3 linked regions of the Ovis aries genome follow. The protein of the gene in region 3 interacts with the protein of the main gene of each other region in a biochemical or structural test. Links are inferred from orthologs where the notes say so. Each region holds a gene or a part of one and is shown on either strand. Other genes may lie near its edges.

Evidence for each region.
Region 1: the proteins of CLTB (region 3) and HIP1R form a complex in vitro, tested with the Homo sapiens proteins (2 studies listed by BioGRID). The link is inferred for Ovis aries from reciprocal best matches to the Homo sapiens genes CLTB and HIP1R.
Region 2: the proteins of CLTB (region 3) and HIP1 form a complex in vitro, tested with the Homo sapiens proteins (2 studies listed by BioGRID, with this or other methods). The link is inferred for Ovis aries from reciprocal best matches to the Homo sapiens genes CLTB and HIP1.

The regions. Positions count from the first base shown.
Region 1 is NC_056070.1:52,726,891-52,731,739, reverse strand, and holds the start of HIP1R (huntingtin-interacting protein 1-related protein), read left to right. Parts: upstream 1-1,786; 5' UTR 1,787-1,827; coding exon 1,828-1,920; intron 1,921-4,849. UniProt on the Homo sapiens protein: Component of clathrin-coated pits and vesicles, that may link the endocytic machinery to the actin cytoskeleton. Binds 3-phosphoinositides (via ENTH domain).
Region 2 is NC_056077.1:34,460,771-34,465,599, forward strand, and holds the start of HIP1 (huntingtin-interacting protein 1), read right to left. Parts: upstream 3,064-4,829; 5' UTR 3,043-3,063; coding exon 2,923-3,042; intron 2,348-2,922; exon of another isoform or gene 1-2,347. UniProt on the Homo sapiens protein: Plays a role in clathrin-mediated endocytosis and trafficking. Involved in regulating AMPA receptor trafficking in the central nervous system in an NMDA-dependent manner. Regulates presynaptic nerve terminal activity.
Region 3 is NC_056058.1:35,582,823-35,587,056, forward strand, and holds part of CLTB (clathrin light chain B), read right to left. Parts: intron 456-4,234; coding exon 338-455; intron 108-337; coding exon 1-107. UniProt on the Homo sapiens protein: Clathrin is the major protein of the polyhedral coat of coated pits and vesicles.

The DNA.
Region 1 (4,849 bases), on a different chromosome or scaffold from region 3:
TAGTCGCTCAGTTATGTCCTATTGTTTGGAACCCCATGGTCTGCAGCCCGCCAGGCTCCTCTGCCCATGGGGATTCTCCAGGTGAGACTCCTGGAGTGGGTTGCCACGCCCTTCTTCAGGGTACCTTCCCAACCCTGGGATTGAACCCAGGTTTCCTGCATTGCAGGCAGTTTCTTCACTGTCTGAACCAACAGGGAAGCCCAAATATTAGCTATTGTTATTTTATTGTAAAGAAGATTTTTGGCGATTAGAATTAGATTAAAGTGGGGTTATTTCCTCTTTATAAGGGAGTAAGAGGAAAGCCTTGTTAAATACATCTTTCAAGTTCCCAGTGTCAGCTCCGGGACTAGACAGTGAGGAACCAGTGAGGTTACAGAAGGGGTCCAGCAAACAACATTCAGGGTTATGTAGGTGTCACCTTCCCACTTCAAGGAGTGTCCTTAGTTTTGGGTGATTTCACACCTATACTCTGAGAGGAAAGCTGAGGCCAGCAGAAACAAAATAACCATTTGAGAGCTACCTGTGATTTAAAAAGAAAAAAAAAAAACTTTAATTTTGTGACTGGTAATTTTAGAAGCAAACCAGTAATAATATTTAAAAAGAAAAGAAAAAAAAAAGGCTCACATCACCTCCTGTGGCATCTGCTGCATGCTGTCTGACGGCCCAGCTCTGGGTTGGTCCAGAGCTGTCTCCAGGCTGTCCCAGCCCTGCCTCTCTCGGTCAGGTTCTCAGCTCTAGGAGGGTCTCTGAAAAGTCATCCCACAGTCCCGCGTTGATTACAGCTGCAGTTACGTTACACTTGGGCTTCCCAGCTGGCGCTAGTGATAAAGAACACTCCTGCCAATGCAGGAGAAGTAAGACACAGCGGTTCGATCCCTGGGTCTGGAAGATCCCCCGGAACAGGGCATGGCAACCCACTCCAGTATTCTTGCCTGGAGAATCCTATGGAGAAAGGAGCCTAATGGGCCTCAGTCCATAGGGTCCTGCAGAGTCGGACAGGACAGAGCGTGCACACATGCAGTTACATTAGAGATGCACAGAGTGGACAGCCCAATTTTATGTCTTTGACACACAAAGAGAGTCCCCTGGACTGCAAGGAGATCCAACCAGTCCATCCTGAAGGAAATCAGTCCTGAGTATTCACTGAAAGGACTGATGCTGAAACTGAAACTCCGGTAATTTGTGCACCTGATGCTAAGAGCTGACTCATTTGAAAAGACCCCGATGCTGGGAAAGATTGAGGGTGGGAGGAGAAGGAGATGACAGAGGATGAGGTGGTTGGATGGCATCACCGACATAATGGACATGAGTTTGAGTAAACTCCGGGAGTTGGTGAAGGACAGGGTGGCCTGGCGTGCTGCAGTCCATGAGGTCGCAGAGTCGGAGACGACTGAGCGACTGAACTGAACTGACACGTAAAAGTAATAGAGGCCTGTTTAAAATGAAAGAAAAAGTGTCTAGATGTGCTCCCCTTGGTCAAGTTTCATTGAGGCCAGGTTTTCTCCAGTTAACCAGATCTTGGCCTGGTGCGGACAGGGCTCAGTGAGTCGGGGCGGAGTCTGTGTGTGCAGACGGAGGAGAGACGGGTGTTTCCGCTCGCACACGTGAGGCGTGGAGGGGCTGGGGGCCCCCCTGGCCGCAGCCTGTGCCAGCCACCCCACCAGGGCCGGGCCGGGGGCGGGCCGGGGGCGGGGCGATAGTAAAGCTCCTCCCCCAAAGGGCGGGCGTTGCCGTGCGGCGGGCGGCCTCGCGGTGCCTAGGCTTGGGCGGCCGGCCTGGGTCGCTCAGTCGCGCGGAGCCCCGCCAGGGATCGCAGGCGGCGGCAGGATGAACAGCATCAAGAACGTGCCTGCGCGGGTGCTGAACCGCAGGCCTGGCCACAGCCTGGAGGCCGAGCGCGAGCAGTTCGACAAGACCCAGGCGAGCGGCGGGGCTGCGGGCGGGCGGGCTGGCGGACGGCGCCTTCTCCCCTTCCCCTCACACACGTCCCTGGAGCCCGGCCTGCGCCCGTCCCCTTGGCGCCCCAGGCCCCTCGCTCCCGGCCGCCTGGGTTCCCTTGGCTGCATCTCGGTCACGGCCACCCCTGCTCCCCGGCCTCCGCCGGCCCGGGCGCAGGTGAACCGGAAGCGCGCGCCGGCGCCCGGGCCGGAGGCGGCGCGGGGGGCTGGGGTGGCCGGGACTGAGATGCCGCCGGGGACTGAGATGCAACTGAGGGGCCCAGGTGGCCCGGGAACCGGCCAGGTGTTCAGGGACTGAGATGCGGTCGGGGGCCGAGATGGCCAGGGGACAGCGGTGTCCAGGGACCGAGAGGCGGCCGGGGACCTCGGGTGCCCAGGGACCGAGAGGTGGCTGGAGACCTCAGATGGCCAGGGCACCAAAGTGTCCAGGGACTGAGGCGGCCGGGGACCGAGGTGGTCGGGAGCCGAGGTGGTGGAAAGGGATCCAGCTGGAGGGGGCCGAGACGCCGCGGTGGGCCAGGTAGGTCAAGGTACGTTTCGGGCCCGGGTGCGTCCAGCCCGGGTTGGCCCGAGTGGACTTATCCACCCTGGCCGCGCAGCGCCGCCCCCTCCCGGGCTCCGGCCACCTTTTTCCACGCCTTAAAAGAATGCCCTCTCTTCGGAGAAGCAATGCATTTCCTTCAAGGAAACTCAGTGCTTCCTTTCCTCCTGAGTTGTTTTCCAGGGCCTCACAATATCTTATTATCTGCTGGGTGAAAAGTTTCACGTATGTAGCCAGACTTGTTTGCTCGAGCCATTGGCCCACATATAAACAGGTTCACACCCCCTTATTAAATGCCGGCGCCTGACAGAAACTTCCTAGGGTTCCCTTCCTGCACTTCCCACGCTCAGGCATCTCTTCCTCAGGGTGGCCTGTCCTGGGAAGGTTATTTTAAAAATGAAACAATGACAGGGGGTGTGTATTTGTCCGTGTGTTCCTGCTGAGACCACACTGATGAGGGCGTTGGTGTTTCTGGTTTTCTGTTCCTTTTTATTTTGCAAACACTGAGGTGGTGTTCTGCCTGGGTGGGGGTGAGAGGAGCTTACTTGTTTATTCGCTAAAGTAAGTCAACCAGGACTGACACAACAGAAAGCTTTTCTTTAGAAATCAGCGGTGGACTTGCCTGGCGGTCCAGTGGTTAAGACTGTGCCCCGCAGGCAGGGGGCAGGGGTTCCATCCCTGGTTGGAGGACTAAGATCCTCCAAGAGTAGGCCAGAAAAAGAAAGGAGCTAAAAGGACCGAACTGACCCCTGTCTGAAGCCAGGTGGTGACATTTGTGTCTGCCATTATTAGTAAGGTTCTCTCAGTCTCTCCCTATAGGAGCAACAACTTCTGAGGTGTCTTTCAGATCAAGTTAGTACATGCAGCCTACGACAACTTTCGCTTTGAAGTAAGAGGAAATGCAGAGGAAACAGCTAACCTTTGTGCTTGAGATTAACCAGGAAAATGATAATAAAACCTTGGCTCTAGGAAAGCCTAGTGCTGAACCAACCTAGCCACAAATTATTAATTTATCCTTGTGATCATCACCATCCAGCCCCTGGTATATTTTCAGCCCAGATAGTCCATCATAAAAACAAATGTGGCATTTAATTTAAAGTCATTAATGCATAATTAACTGTGCCAGGAACTTTCAGAAGGATGGGGAGAAAAATTTAATTGGCAGAGAGAATCTGGATGTTGTCAGATGTTATTCATTCTCTGATTTTTAGTTTCTTTCACGCTTTTGAGAAGGTATAGAGAGGCCGGATTGCTACATAGAGGAGATGAAATTAAAGGGCTGAGTTCATTGATCTTACTCTTAAATTGTGATAAATCAAGGGCAAGCTTCCCGAATGTCAAAGAGAATCCCTGATACAGCACCGTATATTTTGATGGTTGGTTTGGTAAACAAGAGGGTGTTTTGTTCTTGCTGCTTGGTTTTTTCTCAGAGGCCGAGAGGGTTACTTATCATGAATAATTCTTTCTAATAGGTGAATCTCATAGGCTTTACCCATTCCAGGGCTCTTTTTTTTTTTTTCTAGAAAGATGAAGTTCAGGTTCACTGTCTAGATTTGTCTTCAGAATGAGTTACTGAGAGATGCAGGAATAAGGTTTTGTGCACGGTTAATATTTAATTAGATCGCTCCCAGAAATATCTAGTGAGCTGCTAGCCAGGCCCCATTGGAGGAAAGGACACAGAGAGCCGAAGCTGCTGCTTACAGGTCTCCTTCTGAACAGAAAATAGTGCATCCAGCCCTCGGACACTCCTTGCCTTCAGAATGCACTGTCCGGGTCTCCTCGTTGACCACAGTACCCTGTAGAGCAGAGGGGCATTTTGGCTTCCTTAGAACACATGTCCCCACTGTCCTGCCAGCCTCGCTATTCCTCCTGGGCTTATGGGTCAAGAAGAGGAAAAATGTGACTGACCACACCCTGTTTTGCAAAAGGGTTTCTAACCCCGCCCAGGTCAGGAAAGTGGAGGGAGGGCAGTCCTGCATCCTTCACGTTGCGGGTACTCGTGGTTGTTATGTGATGTCAGTGTGTGAGTGCCTGTATATTAATCCCCAGGGCGCCGTGCAGAAAGCTGGTCTATTGTTCCCCAAGACTTTATGGTCCCTTTGGTGATAAAGCCCCTTTTTAAAATGGAAGTGACAAAACTGTATTGGCGTTTTGTTGTTGTAGTATTCTGAATGCAGAATACTGTGGAATACAGCATCCCCGTGTTCTGAACATGAAAATCACCTGTATTGTTTCAAAGGCGGTGCAATATCACCGAAAGTCAGTGCACCTGTGTCCCTGGGCAAGGTGCTTAACTCCTGTTTCCTGGTCTGTGAAAATAGAGATAATTCCATCTACTTCCTTGGGCTGT
Region 2 (4,829 bases), on a different chromosome or scaffold from region 3:
CCATCCCTCCTCTCTCCCCAGCAAGTGCTGGCTCAGGCTGAAGGATGGGGTTCAGACCTCGCAGGGCTCCCACCCGCTTCGCACCCTAACAGCCTGGACTTTAAGCAATCACTCCTGGTAATCACTGCATTAACCAGGAACACTTCTGTCCCTCTACTGAACAGTTCATCACAGCCTGCCCCAGTACTTGGCCTTTTTTCTGGTCCCCTCTCCTCCTCAGATTATAGCAATCATCATCGCCACAGTGCTCTCCAGTTTACAAAATGCCTCCAGGTATATTATTTAATCTAGTCTCCCATAATCAACCTGTGAGGTAAGTAGTATCCTTATTTTGCAATAAGGAACCCAAGGCTAAGAAAAGCTGGAAAACTTGCCTGGGACCACAGCCCCTCCATGTGCCTGGCTATCAAATTTCAGCCTCTTCCAGTTCCCATACCAGTGCTCGGCCCAGTACTCAGAAGCCACACAGAGCTGTGGTTAAAGGTTGGGATCACAACATGCTGTCTGACCTTGGGCAAGTTACTTAACTTCTCTGTGCCTCAATTTCCTCCAGATAAAATGTGGTTGATACTCACCTCATAGGTCCTTGTCAATATCACCTCACAGTACTTTACTGAAATTAAAGAAGGTGATACAATAAAGTACTCAGAAAAGTGCCAAACATAATTAGTTACAATCATCCGCCCACCTTCACTGATTCCATGGTCTCTTAACTCATTAAATTTTTTTTATAACTCATGTTCATATGGCTCAGACTGTAAAGAATCTGCCTGCAATGAGGGAGACCAGGGTTCGATCCCTGGGTTGGGAAGATCTCCTGGAGAAGTGAATGGCTGCCCATTCCAGTATTCTTGCCTGGAGAATTCTGTGGACAGAGGAGCCTGGCAGGCTGCAGTCCATGGGGTAGCAAAGATTCAGACACGACTGAGTGACTAACACACACATACATTGGGTAAGTAGTCATTAAACAATACACATTTTTGCAGATTGACTAAGGTGAGGTTTTTAGAATTGTTCTCTTTCCTTTTCTTCACTCTCTTATTGCCCTAATAGTTTCAACAACACAGAAACTCTTTTCCTGATTCATTCTACCTCCCTTACACACACACACACACACACACACACACACACACACACACACACACACGCCACTAGCTCAAATCTGGCCAATTATCAGTGCCCCACAGAATGTAAGATACTGCCTAACACTGACCTAGACTCTCCTTGTTGGGACGTCCCTGGATAGCTAGAGAAACTTTCACAAACCTAATTTCCATCACTATAATGGGTCAAACTCTTATGTGTATTTCTCTATTGCTCCAGTTTTTACTGGAGACTCTAAAAGGAATGAATTACCATTTATTTTCCTTGTCCATTACAAGAAAGATTTACACTGTTTCCTGGAGCAAGAAGCCTTGTGTGCCCAGGCAGCTAGACGAGGGCATAATGCCCATAGCAGACAAGCATCTTCCTTCCTTTCTGGGGTCCAATCCACAGAATTAGAAAATAAAGCTTAAACCCAGCCAGACCCTGGGAGAGAGAAGTAAAGAGCCTTCTCTCCCATCCCGTGTGGGGTAGAATGATGACCTAGGGAGGGGACACTGCCTACTTTACACCACCTGGACACACCTGTGAAGGGCCAGAGGTGCCTGGAAAAAGAAGAGGAATTAGTCTCCTGGGTTTTCATGAAAAGTTTCCTTCTTTGCAAGATTCCCTACATGGAACACTCGATCAGGACCTCACAATCTTTATCTAAAACCCCACTGCCCTTCCTTCACATGGTACTAAGTTTGGGGAGGGCGGTGGGGAGCAGAACAGAACGGGAGAACCAGCTTCTGGCAGCGGAAGCCCCCTGGCTCTTCAAAGGTTTCACTCCGAGAGCAAGAGTGAGCGCGAGTGAGGAACAAACTTGCCCATACAACTTCAGCAGTGGGATTAAAAGAAGTGCTGTGCCCTTCGAAATGGATTTTGCATACAAACCAGCCGATGAACACCATAAACATGTCAGCTTTATTCAGTCCAATCAATACACCAGGCATTAAAACTCTGAGGTAAAAATGGATTGTGGCTTTTTGTTGATGACAGTGAGGAATTTTGGCCCCTAGCCCTGCTCAGGCTGGACAATTTAGGGCAGGCTGCCTATTAGCTGTCAGGCACATTTAGGGGGATGAAATCAAAACCCCGATTCAGGGTTCTGGGCACCCCAGAACAACCCAACTTGACCCGAATCGGGGCCACTGGTCCAGGACCCTCAATATCTGTCCTTGGGCCGGCCCCCTCCTCCAGCCCCCGGTCATCTTCCAAACTCGGCCACACACCGCATTTCCTACATTCCTTCCTCCGGGCTCAGACCCCTTCAGTCCGGTCCTCCGAGGCCGACAGCTGGGGGCTGGCGTGAGCCAAGCTAGAGGCACAAGGAAGGGGATGCTAGGGACGGGGGGAATGTCAACGCAGTCCTGAAGTGATCGAGCGGAGAGTACAGGGCGCCCCAGCCCTCACATTCCCGACTCAGCGCCCCACTCTCTGCAGCCACACTTGCGACCCCCAGCGCCACCCCCCCCCCGCCAGGGACCTTCCCCAGCTAGGGGCACCCCTTCCATTCGGCCCCCTTTTCGCGTTCCTTCCCCTCTCACCGCCCCCGTGACCCCTGCCCTGCCCCGCCGGGACCGGCTCCAGTCGGTCGCACCGCGCGGACCGTGCCAGCTGCTCAGAGCCGCCCTGCCCTCTCCCCCAGGCCAGCCGGGATGGCCCCGGGGTCCCCGACCTTCCCAGACCGCCTTGACCACCGCACCAGATGCCCCCTTGCTCAGTCCTTCCCTGGGCCTGCAAGATCCCTACTCCCTTCGAGTCCCCTCCAGGACACTGCGGGATGCCCCAGCCGTGCACGACCGGGGGTGTCCCCCACCCCGCCCCGGTCCTCACCTGAGTCCGCTCAAAGCTCTCCCGCTCCGCAGCCTCCATCCCCGCGCCAACCCCACGCCGGCTCAGCACCTTCGGCAGGGGGTTGGGGACCTGCTTCATGGAGCTGGCCATCCGGTCCATGTCGCCGCGCGGAGCCGAGTCAGGGGCCCTCAGCCGCCCCGGGATCCCCACGGCGCCGCCCGCCCCTCCCTATCCACTGGGATCCGGCGCTAACGGGAAGGCGCCCGCCTCCCATTGGCTGAGAGCGCTGCTACTCTGCCGAGGCCCCGCCCCAGCCCAGAGGCTTCCCCGTCCGCCCCCGCCCTCTCCAGAGCCCCCGCCCCGGCCCTACCCTGCAGGGCGCTCCGGACCGTCAGGCGCGCCGGGACGGGCCCGGAGGCCTGTCGGTCACCGGCCTCCACCGCCCCTGGCGGGGGCGGGCCTGACCTGCCCTAGCCCGCCCCTTCCCCGACGCCCAGAGCGCGGCTCTCCCAGCCGCTGGCTGCACCCGCGAGCTCCCAGCGAGCCGCACTCTCCCAGTCCCCCCACCCCACCCCGGGCGCCGCGAGGTCCCGGCTTGGTTGGTGGGCGGGGGTCAAGCTGGCGGTGAGTTGGGCCTGCCGCAGGGAATCCGGGCCCGCGTGGGACTGGCCTGTTAACTCTTTTCGGGCCGGAGACAAGAGCGCGCGCGATGGACCAGCTCGGCGGCCCCTGTCCCAGGATGCGCTTGCCCTGAGGCCGGGCCTCCGCAGGTTGGTTCAGCGGGTCGCAGACCTGGCCGGCGTGGGTAGCGGCTCCCACCGCCTTCTCCCTCGTCCTGCCCCTGCCCCGAATCCCTGCCCATCCCTTTTGTAATGTTCGCAGACCAGGGAGCGCTGGGCTGGGTCAGTGGAAACTTCTCGACACCTTTACAAACCTCTCACCCTCTGGATCTGGTCAGGATGTATTCGTTGGTAGAAACCCATGTGGACATTTTAATATTTATCCCCGGCTCTGGGACACCCCTCCCATCCTGCTCCGTCGTCAGCCAAGGTACTGACGACAGGCGTAGGGGGGATGGAAGGGGGTGGAAGTAAGATCCTTAGCCGAGATGCTGAAGAAAGTTAAAAGTTTTCTGTTCAAATGCCAATTTTGATGTTTTAAAAATAAATGCTTTTTGCAACTCAAAGTAAAGAAAGGCGTTACTTTTTTTTTTTTTTTTTTGACTAAGAGCTTTTGATAAAAATTCACACATTCAATAGAGAAGCAGAAGAGGGGGTGGGCCTATGTAGGCACTGGGGAGCCTCTGACGGCTTTGCCAGCTGGCATCGTGTGGATGGGATTCTGGGGGCGACGGGAAGGAAGGGAACCAATGGGGAGACTCCGGCAGTAGGTGAGAGCCCACGAGGGCCTCCACTAGCAAGCCAGGAGAGAGTTCAATCCTGTGGGAGGTTCTGTGAATCAGTCAGTTCAGTCGCTCAGTCGGGTGGGACTCTTTGAAACTCCATGGACTGCAGCAGGCAAGGCGTCCCTGTCTGTCACCAACTCCCAGAGCTTAGTCAAACTCAGGTCCATCGAGTTGGTGATGCCATCCAACCATCTCATTCTCTGTCGTCCCCTTCTCCTCCTGCCTTCAGTCTTTTCCAGCATCAGGGTCTTTTCAAATGAATCAGGTCTACGCATCAAGTGGCCAAAGTATTGAAGTTTCAGCTTCAGCATCAGTCCTTCCAATGAATATTCATGACTGATTTCCTTTGGGATGGACTGGTTGGAGCTCCTTGCAGTCCAAGGGACTCTCAAGAGTCTTCTCCAACACCACGGTTCAAAAGCATCAATTCTTTGGCATTTCTTTATGGCCCAACTCTCACATCCATACACAACTACTGGAAAAATCATAGCCTTGATTAGATGGACCTTTGTTGGCAAAGTAACGTCTCTGCTTTTTAATA
Region 3 (4,234 bases):
GTTGATCTTGTTCTTCTCAACTTGCTCACTCTGGCGCTGGTTCCATTCCTCCAGGTCCTTCTTGGCCTTCTCCCGCCATTCCTGCTCCATCACTTTGGAGGCAGCATCTGCAACCCCCAACAAGTGAATAAGCAGCAGCTTTCCAGGAGGAAGGGGAGGCACAGCGGCCCTAGGGGCTTCTCCCCTCAGCCCCGTCCTCAGCCAGTTCCCACACTAAGAAGCCCCAGGTACTCTAAGGCTTCCCACCCGACACGGTGATGGTCCCAAACCACCACCGCAGCGGGAAGCCCTGACACAGGGGGCCCAGCCCGGCTCACAGCCTCAGCCCTGTCCTCACCCAGCTCCTGCAGCCGTTTCCGCTGCTCCTCTCTCCACTTGCGGATGCTCTCGGGTTCCTGTGTCAGCCTGTCCGCCTGGGCGATCGCAGCATAGCCGTCTGCGGGACCGTTGGCCTCCTAGGACATAGACAGACAGCAGTGCACCCAGCCTGTCCACCGGCCCTTCTGTCTCAGCTCCTTGACTACTCCTTTCCAGTTACAGAGGCCACTAATTTCTCTTTATTCTTTAGCCACTTCTGGGTCAAAGTGTTGTCATTTCTATAAAGCAATAAAACCCTACACATCGGTTTTATTTAAACCCCTCACGTCTCAAACCATGTCATACCCACTGTCTCCTGTGACTGTACCCTGCCTTTGCACTTGCTGTGCCCTCCACTAACCACCCTTCCCCCTCTGTGACCCCGGGCAAGTTACTCAACCTCTCTGTGTCTGACTTTCCTCATCATAAAACAGGCTACAAAATGGCACCCACTCCATAGGGTTAATATGAAGATGGAATGAGTTTTAAAAGTGTCGAACTTCAAATGCTTCTTGGCACACAGAGGGTTCCCTGTGTTTCTATCATTAAAGTTCCACTCTGTTAGTTGCGGGCTTCCCACACGGCTTGGGTGTAAAGAATCTGCCAATGCAGGAGCCACAGGAGAGTCAGGTTGGATCCCTAGGTGGGAAAGAGCCCCTGAAGGAGGAAATGGCAACCCACTCCAGTATTCTTGCCCGGAGAATCCCATGGACAGAGGAGCCTGCCAGGCTATAGTCCATGGTGTCGCAAAGAGTTGGACACGACTGAGCACTGTTAGTTTTATTCACCCAATAACACACAGCCCCAGATGGCCTCACTTTATAATACATTTACTTGTCCATTGTCTGTCTCCTCTATCAGAACGTCACATTTGTGACAGCAGGGATTGGCCTGCCCTGTTCCCTGCTGTGTCCCCAGCACCCAGCACAGTGCCTGGCACAGAGCAGTGAACAGTCCTGAGATAGGCAAGGTGGGCTTAGCTAAGGTCGTGCAGTGATGGGAAGCTCAGACTTGGGGGCCAGACAATCTGGGGTCAGATCCCATCTCCACTGCCTGCTCCATGTGTGTCACTCAACCTTGCCTGACCTCAGTTTTCTCATCTGAAATGAAGATGATACTAAAACTGCCTCTAAGAGTCGGGGTGAGGATTTGATGCAACAGTACTTGTAAGAAATTTACAAGAGTGCCCGGCAGGGAGTGATGGCTCAGTAAATGATAGCTAGAATTATTATTATTATTCATTGTCATCTTATAGGGGACAGGAACTGGGGCCAGGAGAGAGGGCACAGTGTAGTGGCTGAACCTGGGCCGGAGTCCAGGCCTCCTCTGACTTCCAGGCCGGGCTCTGCCCAGCTCTCCAGGCTGCCTGCCAGGGTAGGGGACTCCAAGCATGGCAGGCTGAGAGCTCAGCCCAGACAGGCTGGGCGTCCCTCTGTTCTCGAAGAGCCAGAGCTTTTTTACAACCCAGCCCGTCTCTCGGCACTCCCACTCCGGCGCTCTGTCGGCCGGTGCATTCCTGTCTCCACCCATCCCACATCCACTCTGTCCCGCCTTTGTCTCTTGCTTTCGGCCTGCAATTGTCTCCCCTCCTTCCTCCAGCTGATGAAATGTTCCATCCCACGAGTTACTAGCTCAGAAGTCACCAGCTCTGGGCTATTTCCAAACCCTCAACCCTCAAGCAGATCTCACAGCCCTTCCTCTCTTCTACCAAGTGTGTCTCCTGGCTGGACTGCAAGATCCCTGTCAGCAGGGCAGAACCTTGTTTACAGCCCTATGAACCTGTCCCTCCTTTCACTGCTCTGTTGCTCGAGCACTCATCAAACTGTCATGAATCCCAGTGTTGGTTAATGTTTTCTCCCCACCCAACAGCGTCTGTCCAGTGGTGCCCACACAGCTGGTGCTTAACAAGCAGTGGCCATGTGGATGAAGATCCCCCCTGGGACCAGCATGTGCCAGTTCAGAGGAAGTGCTGGGTGTCTGTCCAGGGGGCTGTGGGCAGCAAGGTGAAGGAGCACGCAGATGGACGTAAGAGCTGCATCTCCCTGGGGAGAGAGAAGGGCAGGCCGAGGGCGGGGCAGTGCTGCCTGGCTCCTTGGATCAGACCCACCCTTGGGTGGGGCAGCTGGGGCACTGCCCTTATTCCTCCTTCCTGCCCAACATTATATTTCAATTCAGAGAGTCTCTCATGACATCTCAAGGGGCCTTTCCAGGGCCCTAATCTCGACAACACAAGTTGATCACCAATGTAGGGTGAGCCCCACCCTGTCCAGTTCTGGGAAAAACCCTGTCCTGAGGCCAGGCTACCAGGACCTCTACCCAATCCTATAGAATGTCCCATCTGAAGACAAGTGCAGTTACTTTGGTGTCTATGTGTTTATCCAGGTGCTACATTTTATTTCTTCTTGGTACTCATGATATCTTAAAAGACTGGCTTCCTTAGTGGCTCAGACAGTAAAGAATCTATCTGCCTGCAATGCAGGAAACCTGGGTTTGATCTCTGGGTCAGGAAGATCCCCTTGAGAAGGGAATGGTGACCCACTCCAGTATTTCTTGCCTGGGAAATCCCATGGACAGAGGAACCTGGTGAGCTATAGTCCTTGGGTTGCAAAGAGTTGAACATGACTAAGCAACTAACTTTCCGACTTTCATTACTATCTGCCCCCCACCCCTCCCCAGTAAATGAGTTCCATGCAGACAGAGACTATCTCTGTACAGAACCTAGGACAAGGAGGGCCTGGCTGTAAGAGGAGCTCAAGAACATCTCTTGAATGAATTAACATACGTTCATGCTTGGGAACAGAGATGAACAAGTTGGCCCATCATCCAGGAGCTTGGCAGAGGGAGTTTCTCACAAATGAAGACCATGACTTGGGGTACGTGCATAACATGGGTCATGAAAAGAGGGGGGACAAGGGAGGGCATGACCTTTCTAGCCTAGGAGCAGAGTAGGCTGGGAAGAGACAGGGGAAGGGCATTTCAGACCAAGAATTGGCAGCGTAAGGACCACGTGAGGCTGGTGCCTTTGGGAAAATGTGAGTGCAGACATGCTGCCACGTGTGGATGGGATGGGTTGAGAGAGGTGGGCTGGAGGGTCAGAAGGCATTCCATGGTGTCCTTCAGGACTCACCATCTCCTCTAGAAGTGTGTGCGTGCTCAGTCGTGGCAGACTCTTTGCAACCCCATGGACGGTAGCCTGACAGGCTCCTCTATCCATGGAATTTTCCAGGCAAGAATACTCAAGTGGGTTGCCATTTCCTACTCCAGGGGATCTTCCCAACCCAGGGGTTGAACCAGCATCTTCTGTGTCTCCTGCATTGGCAGGCAGGTTCTTCACCACTGAGACACCTGGGAAGCCCCACCATCTCCTTCAAGACTGCCCTAAAATTAAGACTCACAGGTTAGAGTGCTTAAAAACTTGCAAAGAACCTTCAGTTAAATGGTTCTCTTTGGCCTTCACAAACCTTCATGGTGGGTTTTATTATCTTTGTTTTACAGGTAGGAAAAAGTCTAGCTTCAAAGTCCCAAGGTCACCCAGCCAGCAACTGGCAGAGCCAGAATTCAAACTGAATTCCTGGGTGTAACACATAGCCAACAGGGGCCAAAGTCACTTCTGTGCCACGTGATTTTTTCCTCCCTAACACGTCTAGCATCCCAAGATTAGACACCGTGCCCTGTCCTCCCACTCCCAAGGGCCACTCCCTGTCTCTCTCACACTTGCCTTCATACCCTCTTGGCTCACTTAGTGGCTAGCTCAGGGATAAGAAGCTTCTAAGGCTACAGAGGACTCTTCTCAACAGACCTGTGGGGACAGCAAGGGAGGGCTTCTCATCCCCATTTTACAAATGACAAATCCAGCTCAAAGCAGCGACTAGTCCAA